2 linked regions of the Schizosaccharomyces pombe genome follow. The protein of the gene in region 2 interacts with the protein of the main gene of each other region in a pairwise test. Each region holds a gene or a part of one and is shown on either strand. Other genes may lie near its edges.

The links.
Region 1: the proteins of sec24 (region 2) and thi2 interact in a two-hybrid assay, tested with the Schizosaccharomyces pombe proteins (2 studies listed by BioGRID).

Annotation. Positions count from the first base shown.
Region 1 is NC_003423.3:3,937,659-3,944,962, reverse strand, and holds thi2 (thiazole biosynthetic enzyme), read right to left. Parts: upstream 4,438-7,304; 5' UTR 4,390-4,437; coding exon 3,403-4,389; 3' UTR 3,264-3,402; downstream 1-3,263. Other genes in the region: sec9 (protein transport protein), read left to right, coding at 1,219-2,478; tda1 (threonine ammonia-lyase), read left to right, coding at 7,297-7,304. UniProt on the Schizosaccharomyces pombe protein: Involved in biosynthesis of the thiamine precursor thiazole. Catalyzes the conversion of NAD and glycine to adenosine diphosphate 5-(2-hydroxyethyl)-4-methylthiazole-2-carboxylic acid (ADT), an adenylated thiazole intermediate.
Region 2 is NC_003424.3:4,795,082-4,804,200, forward strand, and holds sec24 (coincidence detector Sec24/Sfb2 subunit), read left to right. Parts: upstream 1-4,513; 5' UTR 4,514-4,673; coding exon 4,674-7,454; 3' UTR 7,455-7,571; downstream 7,572-9,119. Other genes in the region: 20S proteasome complex subunit beta 6 Pam1, read left to right, coding at 398-1,075; RNA polymerase I termination factor Rtf1, read right to left, coding at 2,186-2,295, 2,343-2,494, 2,540-2,872, 2,911-3,022, 3,062-3,149, 3,195-3,361, 3,409-3,847; rRNA processing protein Rrp16, read left to right, coding at 8,098-8,234, 8,290-9,119. UniProt on the Schizosaccharomyces pombe protein: Component of the coat protein complex II (COPII) which promotes the formation of transport vesicles from the endoplasmic reticulum (ER).

The sequences.
Region 1 (7,304 bases), on a different chromosome or scaffold from region 2:
ATTAGTTTTTACTCTGTCAACAGTGTAATAATTTCAATACTTTATACTAATGTTTTAAATTAATTAAAACTAAATCTCGGTCACTTTTACCAAAGTAAAAATAGGAGATACTATGTCGTAAATCGGGGCATCTTCAAAAAATATACAAATATCATTATAAAACAAAATTTCAAAATTTAACGAAACAAAATCTCCACCTTACTAAATTAGTCCATCGGAAAGACAGAAAAATGAAGGATAGTTGGAAAACTATTTTACAGACATACAAAGGGTCTTTGTAATTATTGAGAGTAAAAAATATATATTTACTTCTGTGGCATCAGAAAGATAACGCATAAATTTTTATTCAACAATTTTTTTCAGATAAAAATATATGTTCTCATCATATGCCTGAATTAATGAAAATTTCAGGATGTGTTTATATAGTTTTTCTGAATCTGACGAGATACACAAACACTTGCTTTAAACTCTATCATTTATAAATTAGAAAAACACAAAATATTTTGAATTATTCATTTAAAGGATGTAAAATTTTGACTGTTCGCAAATTTCAAAAATAATTGTAATTTCCACTAATGGTAAGCAAACTATGCTAAATGTACTTCGAAAGCTTTCGTACTCTAAAAATAGAATGGCCCAATAACATTGATATAAAGTGCTAGTCAAAAAGAAAACAACACTAGCGTATGGCTCCATTGTTTAAATTCTATGATGAAAAGTAGAAAGATTGCTTTCTTAAAAAACGCCAACGTAGAACCCAATATGGCATGGATACTTTCAGAAAATTACTGGATTGAGTTTAAGCAAGAGAGTCAGTCGGCAGCCGACTGTTCATAAAGTCTTGGTAATTTAAATATATTTGTTTTGAAATTTAACGCGACATAGCGTAGAGTAGTTAATGTTCCGGAAATTGATTACAGTGCTTACCGTTTGCCATAATTTGTGCTCGGAAGCTTTGTTTGGTTCTGCAAGTTATTTATTTCATAATAATTTATGGGATTTTAAAGAGGAAGGTGATTAACTTGCCGCCATTTCGTAAAGCAAGCAATTGCATTTCTTGGTTAGTAGCATACTAACCCTTAATTATTCTACAATTTGTATTGAGAAACCCTACATCTGACGATTAAATTTTGTAACTCAATCGAACTATCTGCAACTTAAAACTTTTGCTTACGCCACCCTTCTCGACTCATCTTGGTGTGCACTTTAAGTTAAAGAATGAAGAAGCTGTTTAAAAAGAAGAAGGGTGTTAGCCCGCACATGTATATGCTTCCCGAGGAATCCAACTCCAATACGGCAACCAATGCTCCCTCATATTCGGTCGGTGGAACCACGGCTAATTCATATTCTTCCAATAGTTATAACGACAATAACAACAGCAATAGTACATATGGCTCATCCAACAATTATGGAAATTATGGTTCCTCCAACAATTATGGGAGCTACGGTGCCTCTAACACCTATGGAAGCAATGGTTCTTCCAACAATTATGGAAACTACGGTGCAACAAATTCCAATGGAGATGCTGGGTATTCCATTACTCCAATTCGTAATGACCCCTACGCTAGAAAAGACATGCCACCAATGAAATCTTCTGCTGCAGTTACGGAGAGGCCCAGCATGCATCGTTCTGCTCCCAGTCAAGACACTTTAGATCTCAAAAAACAGGAATTGTTCGCAGGAGCACGTATCCAAAACGATGATGAGTCCACAACGGATACTATTCCCCACAATGATGATGGTACTGAAGGAGATGAATATGGCGAAGGATACCGTGATGGATATGAGGAGGATCAAGAAGTCGAGGCCATCAAACAAAAGATTCAATTTGTCAAACAGGATAGTTTGTCAAGTACGAGAAATGCTTTGCTTATGGCAGGAAATGCCGAACAAATGGGTCTAGCTACGTTAGCCAATTTGGGAGAGCAAACCGAGAAAATTGCCACTGCTGAAAAAGAGTTGGATATTTCAAAAATACATGCTAAAAGGGCAGAAGAACAAGCTCGGGAACTGAAAACGCTTAATCGAAGCATGTTTGCTATTCATGTGCCAAAACCATGGGGAAAGGCAAAGAGAGTCGCTGCTGAAGAAGCTCGTTTGGCCGCAAAAAGAGATGCTGAACGTCAAGATGAAATGCTGAATCGCCAATTCGCATATCGATCTCAGAAACGCATAGATCAGGCTATGAAAGACAACATGAAATCAAATAAAAAGAAGGGTGACTCAAAGGGTGTTTCCATTTTAGAGCGTTCTCATTACCAGTTTGAGCCAGATGCCGAGGATGATGCTATGGAGAAGGAGATTGATGGCAATTTGGACCAAATAGGAGCACTGGCAACTCGATTGAAAGGTTTAGCTTATGCAACAGGACAAGAAATTGATTCACAAAACGCTCGTCTTGGTTCTATTCATGATAAAAGTGATCGCCTCGATACTGATGTATATCTGAACGTTGAACGACTTCGCCATATCCATTGATTTTTTTTAAACCACCAATCGTCTGTATTAGCTCTTTCTTGCTATCTGAATATTGTGCTGTCCTTTTATAATTTTTTAATCCAATACCATTCGCGGTAGCCTATTCGTGTTGCAAGTAACTATTGCAAACTAATTAGATGTTGCAGCTTTGATAGTGGTATTGACTGTTAGTTTTTATTCTATTTTTTTGTGCTGAGTACGAAATGAAGTGAATCCATATCACATAGGCATTTTCGATTTCCATGTTTTTGAGCTATTTCGGTATGCATTAATGATTTGTCAATCGATGGCAGTTTCTTTATTTCATTGCTCGCCAATGTCAAGTCAATTTTAATAGACATTTTTAACCTATATCATCGAAACCTTTATACGCAGCAATATCAGAGTAGATGTATATGATGCATCCAATTTAAAGCATGTGTCCTTACGATTATACTATCAATAGTTTTTTTAACCGGTTTAAATGCAATTAATACAATCAATATGACAATGTAAACCGTTAATAATTTGTTAGAGAGTTTTACTAATTTCCAATAATTTAGGGCAAATGGTTGAACATGAAAGTACTTTGATATCTTCCCTATAGAAATAGCCTTTTATTATTTAATTTGTTAGTTCATCCAATATAAAATATTATATTAAGCGATCTGTGAAATTGAGAAGATAACGCAAGATCTCGCTTACAGTTTACTCTAAACTGTTGTGATATTTCGTTAGCCAATTATATTGTACAAAACTACGTGAAAAGGCATAAAACTCATAGCTAACCAAAACTACGAGAAAAGCAGGTTTATTCTGTTAAGTAAATGTATTTGAATCTCTTTGAGTATAAGTAAATTGCATTAAAAAACGTTGTAGTAATGGTAAAATCAATGACTAAAACAAATGTAGAAATATCAAAAGGTTGCTAGTACACTATTTTCTTTACAAGTACTTTTCATTAACAGCCTTACGTTCATCAAAAATAGCAAGAGCTTCTTGAGCAGCTTTGATGCCGCTAAACATCATACCACCGAAGGTTGGTCCCATACGGTTGGCACCATCAAATTCAGAAAGCTCCATACCTCCAACAATCATTCCTGGAAAAACTTCACGAGTTCCCTTTACAATAAGGTCCTCAGCACGGTTCATATCTAAAGGACGCATGTCGTGAAGGTTAGAAACAAGTTGAGCACTGGCAAGGCGCTTGACACAGAAAGCGCCGAATGGACCATCATGACCAGTAGCAGAAACAACCAAATGGGCATTAATAGTGTTTGGGTCCATGCAAGATTGAAGACCGTGATTCAAGGAAACAAGGGTCCAATTTGTAACAACACCGGCAATGCGTTGCTTACCATCTTTTCCTTCCTTAACAATCAAATCTTCAACAGCAGTGGCATTGAAAAGTTTGACATTAGGAAGTGCCAAAGTACGGGCCATAACAGTGCTGGTGAAAAGAGCGGCATGTTTGACCACAACATAATCACCCTCATCTTCGTAAGGAACACCAATTTCATTTAAGAAAAGATCAGCTGGCTTACGAACAACCATTGCACTAAAAAGCTGACCACCAAGCCAAGCACCACCACCTGGAGCAACACTAGCCTCGATGATAGCAATCTTCAAATCAGGGCGGCGAGTTCCAATGTAGTAAGCTGCAGTAAGTCCTGCAGAACCAGCTCCAACAATAACAATGTCGGATTCAGCATATTTATCCAAGTCGCTGAAATAGCGACGAGTCATAGCACGGCTTACAGTGCTTTCACGAATAGGAGCAAAGCTAAATGACTCGTCCAAAGAGTAAGTAGGGTAAGCCTTTGATAAAGCACCCATTTCACTTTTCACTACAGTGTTATGAGCAGTCTTTTCAACTGGCAAGTCAGTCTTGAAGGCAGTTTGGGGTGTAACGACAGCAGTAGCAGGGGCCATTTTGAAACTTAAGAATAATATTCAGAACCGATAGTGGAATGTTCAATTGATGCTGAAACATGCTATGAGCCCCCTTTATATATCAAAATTCTTACCATCTTTCGACTTTCATTTTTGTGACTACAAACAAACTTGCCTTTGGCTGCCGGGTTCATAACTCCGTAGTATCAAATTTCGGTTACATATTTCCAGTTTCGGTTGCAAATTAGTGGATCTGATTTTTTAAGCTTTTCTGGTCATTTTATATAAATCTTTGCATAGAAATAGTGTAGTCTGATGATATGACACAAGCATTAATATTGAACAGAGATCGAATTTTAAAGACAATTAGCGTCAAAAAAATTAATTTTTTAATGTTAGACTTAAGATCAATAGTACCACAAAAGTTTAGAGACTTTTCTAACATAAAATTGCCATATTTCAAATTTGATAAAAGTGTTTCGGACTCGGAAGCTTGCAAGTATGGCGAGTATTGGGTTGCATTCGTAAGTGTAATTGATACATGATAAATATCTGAATATGCAGCTATTATTTGCTGATTTTGTTCGCATCCAAGTAACTGATCGGCGGCGATGAATTACAGATGGCGTCTTCAAATTAAAAATAAAAGCCTCATCACAGTAACTACCCGTCATTAAAGATTACAATCTCATTGGAAAGTAAAAAAAGAGCCAGGTGATACGGATAGACATCAATACATCTCCCTTTTTGATTGAAGACAGACTTGGGTGTTTCGTTAGATAGTTCATCGTGATTTCCAAGCCAATGACTTTTTGACTGTTATAGCAACTAACAGGTTATTAATGTAACTTTGGCTTATATATAAAATCATATCCAATGGCTCACCAACTAAGGATGGATGCTATTATACAAAGCATTTGCATAGTCTTCAAATAAATATAAATTGAAGGGTTGAAAGGTCAGCTGATGATGAAAAAAAGATACCTTGATTTTCTAAAACTCAACTTCAATCGATATAACATTCTTATGTTTCGATTAAGCCAGTTTAGATGGTGGTAAAGACATAGCATGCCATCATAATCGAGAGCTTTTAAGCTCGGAGTCTTAATGAACACATAACTTATTGTTATTAATGAAACATATTCATTATTCAATATATGAGATATTTTGCAGCAATGTATACAACCTTCCAAGAAGGTTTATTGTATTTGCTTCTTCGACTCATTAAGGTTCGATAGTAAAATTTTACTAGCATATCCTCATTATTATCCTCTTTTGTTAAATATGGTAATTTAAAAAATATTTTAGTTAAAAACTCTCCCTCCGGGATTCGAACCCGGGCTGCAAGCGTGACAGGCTTGTGTACTACCCCTATACTAAAGGAGATTATTGTGAGGATTACTAATTTGCAAAATATAATTGTCGTGTACTTTGTGTTGCATGAGCAACTTAAATAGTTTAGTCAGTTTTTGAAGGCTTCGGATACAGTGAAGAAAGAAGGTAAGAATTTATCTCTAAAATTACTTTCTTTGGTCTTCTTCCCTACACGTCTCGCATGTATTATATTTATCTGTAACGATGAAGATTGAAGAGATTGTGATTAATTTCATTTTTTGTTGTAGGCTGCGATAATTCAAAAGTTGAAAGACAATGGAATTCAATAGTTACAGCCATTGATGGCTGATTTCGTCAATTGAAATTTTTGGCAGCACTTTCATAGCTGTGTTTCTTTACCTTTACTAAATATACCGTAAAATAGCTTTTAGTGTAAAAATGTTAATAGAATTCGGGCTAATGCGATTGAGTACGAAATTAAAATAAGAATGACAAATGTTGTTGAGCTAAATAGCACAAACCCAATGAGTGCATTAAAAAGTAGAGAATTAATAATATTGTTTTGGAATTTAAAAAAAAGAAGCCTACAGCACCCCGGATTCCCATGTTGTCTCCAACCATAGTACTAACGAGGCCCTCAGACGCTTAACTGCAGTGATCGGACGGGAACTGGTGTTTTCGCCTAGGTATGGCCGTAGACGACTTGTTCTTATAATTGCACTATATATATTATTCCAATATAAAAGAGATACTCTAATGTTATATACTAAACTCTTTTGTCAATGAACTGTAAAATTTTTAATATCCATATTCTTATACTTTGCACGAGATGTACAATTATTGAAATCTTGTCTGTACGAATTTAATTTAGGAAATATTTTAAAAAAGCTAGCCAAATTGGTTTTGAATTATTTTAATATTCGGATATTGGTTGTTTTGCTAAAGTGTTTTATATCATTTAAAATTAAAAAAAAAAATAGAAAAAGTTTCAAAAATAGCTTTGAAATTCTCTCAGCTTGTTAAAATACTATGAAAAAATAATAATAATTTTTTGAATTATTTATTTGCTAAATTCCTTTTGTGTTTGTAATATAATTTTATATACTGGATCTACTTAACAGCTTTGCCTCCGTTTGTTGTATTAATATTCTAATGTTTACCTCTTTATCTCAGATTAAAAAAGAAGTAATGGGACAACTATTTTTTTTTTTCAGTTATCACTGGTGAAATCTAATCAATGCATTTCATACAATTCGTAAAGTATAGAATATATTATTAAACAATCTTATATTCATTACAAAAACTTTTTGCCATGTAGCTTTTTCAACATTCGACTTATTCAATGTATCTCTTTCCTTAAGCTTTGATTTTAATGCTGAAAAAAATCCGTATCTTATTAAAAAATAAAATAAAATTAAAGATTTCTGTGATATTTAGATACATAACTATTCGGCCTTCGTGTATAACAACCCCATATTGTTCGCTTCGTTATCTCGTTATTCACCCGTCGAAAATGGTAGCATCAAATATATTTTGTGACCTTCACCAAACTCATATAATTCCACAAGGATTTTGCTTTTGCTTAATCCAGAAGGGATCAATTCACTGTGAATGACTGG
Region 2 (9,119 bases):
ATCGACAATCCATGATCGACAGAAACCAATCACAATTTTAATGAAATGTTTTTCAATTGAGAAAATCTTAAATATTCATATGTACAGTGTAGAAAGGCTTCTTTTTTTATATGAAAACCTTGAAATGCAGATAACATTACTAGAAAACTCAAAAATATACATCTTCCTAGGTAATTTTATATAGAGCAATGTATATTTTTGGGGGACAATTATGAATAACGTATTCACTGCTATAGTACAAGTACTTAGGTAACATAAGCATATCCAACTCACCAACTACTAAGCACCAAAAAGGTTTGTTGAGACAATAAATAGTGCTCTAGCAAACTAGAAATTAATAATTCGCTTCATCTTTTAAACTTTTTAAGAAAAAAATAAATTAAACGTCACAAAAATCATGTCACAGTCTCAGTTTGATCCTTATGTACAAAATGGTGGTACCACTGTTGCAATCGCTGGCGATGGGTTTGCCATTTTAGCTGGAGATACAAGAAGTGTTAATGGTTACAACATTAATACGCGGTTTCAACCTCGCGTGCATGAAGTCGGTGATGATTTGGTCATTGGAGCATCTGGTTTCGAAGCCGATGCCCTAGCTTTAGTTAAGAGAATTCAACAAAGAATTGACTTGTATCATGATAATCATGAACGCAAGATGAGTGCACAATCCTGTGCTTGCATGGTACGGACACTTTTGTACGGAAAGAGATTTTTTCCCTATTATGTATATACAACCGTTGCCGGCATCGATAAAGAGGGAAAAGGAGAGATTTATTCTTTTGATCCTGTTGGCTCTTATGAGCGGGAATGGTGCCGTGCTGGTGGATCCGCTGCAAACTTCATTACTCCATTCCTCGACAATCAAGTGAACTTACATAATCAGTACGTTCCTGGTTCACATGGAAAAGAGAGAAAGCCAAGGAGACTTTTAAAATTGGAGGAAGCTATGAAGATTACTACTGATGCATTTACAAGTGCTGGAGAACGACACATCGAGGTTGGTGATTCAGTTCTTGTTAAGATTATCACAAAAGAAGGTGTAGAGACAAGAATTATTCCTTTGAAGAAGGATTAGATTTTTGTAAATATGACTTTTTTATGTTCCACTGTCACAGATATAGCTTCCTAGAATGGCAGCCTGCCTGTCAAGCTCAATTCCAATTTCGGATTGCATGATTATGTATGAGATTTTATCGGAGATATCCCTATTTTGAAAAGCCTAGTCTCAATTTATTTTACAAGTTAAACATTTTTTTTTGTCTTTGATGTACATTGCATAGTTTCATGGCGTATTTATGAATGTGTAGAGGATAAGTTCGAAACAACTTAAACTTGTAATTTTTTTAGTCATATTTATGAAAAGGATTAGTTAGGAAGTGATAGAATATTTGACATAAAAATCAGGATTTCAGTACATCAGTAATTTAAATTCCGTTCTTTGACTCTATGAAATCACTAGACGCTTGGCTAATTTATCATAAAGAAAAAATTATTTAATGATTTTACTTTTCTTCAATCAACCTCTTTTCATCCATATTTTATTTTCGCATCAATGAATAAAAATTTATGATGGGTAAGTAAATAGAATTATCTGATTTGTTATTTTGTGGGCATCACTTCTGTATTCATGTATTATTAATGAAACTTACTTAGTTTTCATTTATGTCTCTCTGTGTACTATTAATTTAATTCAAAAAATTCAGAAATGACCTGTCAAAATAGCCTCTTATGAATGCGGTTAATGTATGAGTTATTGACTGATAAAAAAACTAGATGCAGGCACCCTTGCTAAATTAATCAATGATGATGATGATTATTTTATTTTATAGCTTGACATTCGTTCTTTTTTTTAACCTTTTATTAATAATGGGTTAAATTATAACATCATATCGACTGGGGATGTAGTTTAGGGGTATAACGTTTCATTCGCATAGTTCGCACCTTGAAAAGGTCCCGGGTTCGATTCCCGGCATCTCCAATGTTAGAAACTATTTTTCCTTTTTATCCACATTTGTTTTATTTATTGACTACACGGCAAACAGGTTACATACACAAATGTATACTAGAAAAAATATAAAAGTGAATTTACTAATATAAGTAAGATGAGAACATTCTCTCAATGAATACACAAAAAATTTAAATCTATGACTTTGAGGAAGTAGTTAAAATAAATTTGTTCATGTAGCTAGCATAAATCATCGGCGTTAGAAAAAGCGGTGTAAGAATCATGTAAGTTCGAAATGTAAGTTTCTTCAGGAGAAGAATTTAGCATTTTGTGCAAATGAATTAAAGTATCTAAAGCGTTAACATATTAACAATAATTATTATATTCAAAAATTTACCAGAAAACGTAGAAAGTCCATCGATAAACAAGGTTTTTTTTATTCTTTCGAAATGCGATTTACAAGCATCTGCTGTCCATAGGTGATTAGCATATTCTGATAAGCATTTCCAATCAATCATCCGTTCCTCTGCAACATTAAGGTCCATCATTCTGAATTTAATTAGCTTCTTATTTAAAATTTTATAATTGGAGTACCTTTCAATTAACCATATACTATCGCCAAGTTTGAAAGGGGAACTATTATGTATATCTCTGGAAATTAGTGTGTAATACTTCCACCTACAATGATGACGGTGTCGATTTCTCATGTTTTTAGAAATTAGACTCCATTGAATAGGGGATGAAGGATTGCTTTGCAAGTATTGATTAACCGTTTTGATTAATTTTTCTTTCTCCTGGATAGTCCATGGTGAACGATTGATTTCACCAGGTTGAATGTAGTCGCGCCAATGATCTCTGCAATGCATTGGTAGTCTATTCGACAATTTGCCAATTAAGCTCCAGGATGTTCCATGTTTTTCAACAAGTCTATTAGTTAGTTGCAATTTGGAAAGTAAACTACATACTTTTTCAATTCTGCCTCATCTTCTATAGTCCATTTACATTTTTTCTTAAATGGATTATATTTTCTGCGGAGATAATTGTAAATACTCTTTTTATCCCTATCGATAAGCTCATCTATTATTAATTAGTAACAAGTGATAGTAATTGACTTACACAAACAATTATATAATGTTTTCATTTCATCACGATGGTTATCAGACCAAACATATTGAAGAAATTGTTCATCAGACCAATTTTTTTTCTGTTTTTTAATATTTATAATAAAACAGCAAGCTAAAGACCATACCTTTTTAAACATAGCAATTTCTTTTTCCAAAGTGATAATGTCGTTTGCTCCCCATGATCCAGACGACGCTTTTTTAACGTATTGAAACCTTTCATAACCTGGAATGTTAAAATATCCCTTAAGATGCCTATACACAGTCCTTCGTGAAACATTGGGCACTTGAATTTCTAGACTTGAATTAGCGGATTTTTTTGAAAGCACTCAGGTGTCATACGAAATTGAATGAGTAAATTATTGAAAGGTTTTGGAAGTCTTTTGGTTTTAATAAGAAGATCTCTCGCAGCCACAAAGTTTAATTCGCTTTCTTTCAAAAATTCATCAATTAGTTGACTTAACAGAACCCAAAAAGTGGGTGTCCAGTTGGTGTAATCTCTACTGAATACAAAGTCTTTATATGAAGTAGTGCCTGTTTTTTTGAAGCCTCGACATGTTTCATGGTCTTTCGCACTTCCAGCAATTGCTGTTTTCACATTTTCAGGTGATACCATAGTCTCATCATAATTGTATTCATGAAAGCTTATGGGGTTTCCCAAGTAAATGAAAGAACTTGTATTTTTCGAGTCACCAATGGGTGATAAGAGTTGATCATCGACAAAGAGCTCTTCATTGTCCTCTGTATCCGGTCTGCAACTTAAATTGTTTTTTCCTTGCATAATAATGTTCACTTGTCTGAAGAAATATTAAGAAAAAAACATTGACAAAAGGTAATCAGTATAGCAAGGGACCCGGGGTGTAATAGTTCATGTAAGACAAAACCAAATAGCGCAGGCAACTTCAATTATTCAATCTATAATTGAACTTTTGATACTTTGCAATTCTGAATTCTAATTAACTAGTGAGCCTGTTAAAATTGGGTAACATTATAGAGCGTTGGTGTAGCTAAATAGTGTACGATACATGCAGTGATGGTTTTTGAGAGCATTTTTAAAAAAATTTCAAAATTTCTTAAGATGTGACTCTCTTGTTTATGATATATACATGTAAAATTTTTAAAATAGAAAATTAAGTATGAGTGGTTTAGAAGAGTTTTTTTAGTTGAAAACGTTTACAGGTATCTGCCTCATATCAAACTTAAAAAAAAAAAAGAATAAATTAAAACGATAAAATATCTCTATTGGCTTTTGTTTACTAATAATCACTATTTTTTATCAATTAGGTACAAAGTTCCTGCCTATGTTAAAATTATTAGGGTAATAACGTGTGTCACCGATATAATTACTACGATACATAGTATTTAATAACGAAACTGTAAAGCTCGTTAACTTTCCAGTGATTACCTTAACTTTCCATCTACGTTAGTTGAACCAGCGAATGTAGCTGCCATTTACCTACTCCAGGGAACACTGTTAAAAACGTCTTTTTGTGAAAAGGAAGGAAAAATAGAGGGATCTTCAAAAAAGTTATTAAATAATTCAGTGTTTCTTTTCTTTTTTTTGCTAGCAATATACCACTGTAAGTAAAAAAAAATACACTAAAGCAATGAGTCAGGAGGACGCTTTCTACGGAAAGGGTAGTTATGGAGCTAGTAGTGGAAATTCGAATATACCTCCTCAAGGATTTCAGCCAGTTTATCCAGTTGCTGGCCAGCTAGATAATACCGCTCCTTATGTCGGGGCAGTTGCTGAGGGTACAGCTGAAGGCATTGTAAGCAATGGTGAATACGCTGTTGGAGCTATGGGTGCTGCTCCTACCAACATAATAGGATCTGTCGATCAACAACCACCCGTTTCTCATACCTCTCATAAGTCTCGTAGACAGTATCCTGCTGAGGTGTTTGAACTTACAAATACCTTAGCAGCGTCACCGGCTCCCCCTTCTCTTTCAGAGCCCTCTTACGTTATGGCACGAACTCCATCCTCTTCACCATATCCTCATGATCGCGCAGAGGTGGGAACTAAATCTCTCTCTGCACAATTTGGCGGAATGTCACTTGGAGCAGATGGTGCAGCAGCTATGCCTACCAATGAGTTAGTTTCTGTTGATTTGTACAATCAAACACCAGAAATTTCTGACTTAACCTCTCCTCCTCCTCCTATTAATTTACCCTTAAGCTATTCCGCTACTGGAGCAGCTACTTCCAATTGCCCTCCCAAATATGTTCGATCCACGATAAACTGTGTACCGACAACAAATAGCTTGTTAAAAAAGTCAAAAATTCCATTTGCATTAGTCATCCGTCCATATACTAGCTTGGTCGAAGAAGATGATCCAGTTCCAGTTGTTACTGATACTATTATATCACGATGCCGCAGGTGTCGTATGTATATCAATCCTTTTAGTATCTTTATTGACAATGGCCATCGCTATCGCTGTAATTCTTGTGGTATTGTTAATGAAGTACCCCAGTCATATGACTGGGACAGTTTCAGAAATGTCCAACGTGATCGCTGGCAACGTCCTGAGCTCAATTATGCAGTTGTTGATTTTATTGCTCCTCAAGAATATATGGTTCGTGCTCCACAACCTTTGGTTTACGTATTTTTAATTGATATTTCGTTTGTATCCATATCTTCTGGTATGGTTGGTACTGCAAGTCGTGCAATTCTGGAATCATTGGATCGCATCCCCAATAAAGAAGGACGTGCAAAGGTGGCTTTTATTGGTGTAGACAGTGCCCTGCATTTTTTTTCAGTTTCCCCTGGTGCTGAAGAAGCCACCCAACTAGTTGTTTCTGATTTAGAGGAACCGTTTTTACCCAGGAATCAAGATTTGTTACTTAATTTACGCGAATGTAGACAAGGCATTGAAAACTTACTCGAGCGATTTCAATCAATGTTTGCAACTACCCGTGATTCTAGTAATGCCCTTGGACCAGGTCTTAAGGCTGCCCATCGTCTCATTGAAAATATTGGCGGTAAAATTTGCTGTCTCATTTCGAGTCTTCCTAATGTTGGTGTTGGTAAATTGGAGTTACGTGAAGATCCTAAACTTTTGGGAACAAATCGTGAATCTAGCCTTCTTCATCCCAATGACTCCTTCTATAAATCCTTCGCGGTGGAATGCTCCACGTCTCAAGTCTCTGTTGATATGTTTCTTTTTTCTTCTCAGTATCAAGATGTAGCAACCTTAAGTTGCCTTCCTAGATACACCTCTGGTAAAACCCAATTCTATCACAGGTGGAATGCTTCCCGTAGCGAGGACGCTCTTAAATTTGCTTCTGAACTTACTAACTATCTCAGTATGGAGATTGAGCTAGAGGCGGTGATGCGTGTTCGTGGATCTAACGGTCTCCGTATGTCTTCTTTCTACGGAAACTTTTTTAATCGTTCAAGTGATCTATGTGCGTTTCCTTCTTTTCCTCGCGATCAGAGTTATGTAGTAGAGGTTGTTATTGAGGACACTATCACCAAGCCCTTTGTTTCTTTCCAAACAGCTATGCTCCATACTACTTGTAACGGTGAAAGACGGATTCGTGTACTGACTATTTCTCTTCCTACTACCAATAGTATGACTGATTTATATGCATCAGCCGATCAAGTTGCCATTGCACAATATCTTACTGTCCGGGCTAGTGAAAAGGCTCTTTCTTCTACGTTGAACGAAGCCCGTGATAGCATTATAAGTAAGCTTGTAGAAATTTTGGAAGTTTACAAAAAAAATTTGGCTGGACAAAACACCGGTGCTGCGATCCCGCTTCAAATAAGCACCAATTTAAGACTATTACCATTGCTTTGTTTAGCATTGACGAAGCATACTGGATTCAGAAGATCTAGTCATATCTCATCTGACCTTCGTTCTATTGCTCTATGTTATTTAAGTACTCTGCCAACTCCTTTACTAATGCGTTACATTTATCCAACTCTTTATTCTTTGCACGATATGCCTATTGAAGCAGGAACTGTTACAGAACAGGGTGTAGTTCTCCCTTCTGCGTTAAATCTTACTTCAGCTTTGTTGCAATCTTTTGGTTTATATTTGGTTGATACACACATTCATCAATTTTTGTATATTGGTAAAGATGCAGTTCCGCAGCTACTGATAGACGCATTTGGTGTAAACTCTCTTGCGGATTTGAAAGCTGGACGTTTTACAATGCCAGTTATAGACAACCCACTTAACGTTCGTATCAATGCGATTCTCGGTAAACTTCGTTCGTTGGATAAAGGTTCAACTATTATGCCTAGTCTTTACCTTGTACGTGGTGATGGTGATCCACAATTGCGCTCATGGTTTTTCTCTCACTTCGTCGAGGATCGTAGTGAGAACTCTCCCAGCTATTTACAGTTTTTGCAGACTCTTAAAGAGAAAGTTCGTGACTAAAGGCTGTAAAATCTGGCTACTTTCTACAAAACTTTTTTAAATTGATTGTTCTGATGGTAATATATGCCTGAATTAGTGACATGATTAATTAATAATATTCAATATGGTTAAACATTCTTTGGTTTTTTGTATTTTTAAGAAAAAAAAAATTTAAATAATTGATCTAGTAAATATACTTGGTGCTTTTTATATTGATGAAAGCTATATATGTATCAAACTAAATTAGGTATTTGCGTACATGTAGCTTCCAGCCAGCTTGTACATAAATTTTAGCTTTTATACCTTGTCTATTTTCATATTACTTGATGTTGAAGTTGTTCCAAGAATAACAAAAGGTTCTAATAATTTAATTTAATTCATTACAATTGAGTTGCAGTGTATAGATTTTCAATTTCGCACTTTAGAGCTTCACATCTTCTATTTAAAGCATAAAAAAAATATTAAATATTTATTAAATTTCATTTTCATTGCAATTAGATTATATATCCAGGCGAGTATTCACTTATATTGAAAAACTAATTTAAGAATGTAATTTTGCACTGCGGTACTAGGTGCTTGGCAAGTGGTAGAATTTTGCCTTCTGCCAAGCACTCCTAATTGTAGTAATTAGATTAGAGAGTCGAAATCCTATTATTTTAAAAAGATGGGAATCAAAGAGAGGAATGCACCTTCTCAATATAAACAATCATCTCGTAAAAACAAACGAGCATGGAGGAAAAATATTGATTTGGAGGATATCGAGTCTGGTCTAGAGCAGACTAGAGATGAGGAAATAAAAGGGTATATTAGTTTTTGCATTGTATTAATTAAAAATATTTTTATTAACTTAAAACAGTGGAAATGTCGAGCACAAGCCGAATGATGCTTTATTTGTAATTGACACTCTTGGTGATGATAGAATTGCAAAAAGAAGCAGAAAAAAAATTAAACCATTAAAGGTTGATCAAATTCTTGAAAATAAGTCTTCCATAGAAAAAGTTCATTCTCATTTAACGAATAATTCAACTGAAAGCAATAAGAAAGGAAAAATTTTTTCTAGAAAAGAACTAAATAGACTACAAGCTTTGGTGTATAAAAATAAAGATGGTTTAACCGCAACTTCTGCTGCTAGTGAGCTCAAAAATACCAAACAACCAAAGGAAAGTTATGATGTTTGGGAAACAAACCCAACAGTTACTATACCTGTTAAAAGACCTTCTACATTATCTAAACTACCCGAATCTTTAACTGAGAATAATGCAAAAGTCCCAAATGTTGTTATCGCTGATCCAGGAATGTCATACAATCCTGACGCTGCAGCTTGGATGAAGCTACTTGATACCAAAGGTTCAGAGGAACTTAAGAAAGAACAGAAAAGAATTAGTGAATTAGAGGAAAAGGAAAGAATACAGAAGAAAGCTTTTGAAGACAAGGGATTAGTTTCAGACCAAGACGTTAATCACAGCATTGATTCTGATGACCAGTCTGAACACGAACAAGCAGAAACTCCGATCCCTTCTTCGAAGAACAAACGAAAAACCAGGTCTCAAAGAAATAAGATACGCCAAAGAAGAGAGGAGGAGCTTAGATTACTTGAGCAAAAGAAAAATGAAGAGCTTCTGAGGACGATCGACAAAGCTCCTGCAATATCCAAAAAACTGCAGCAAAAGGATAAAGCTGAGAAAT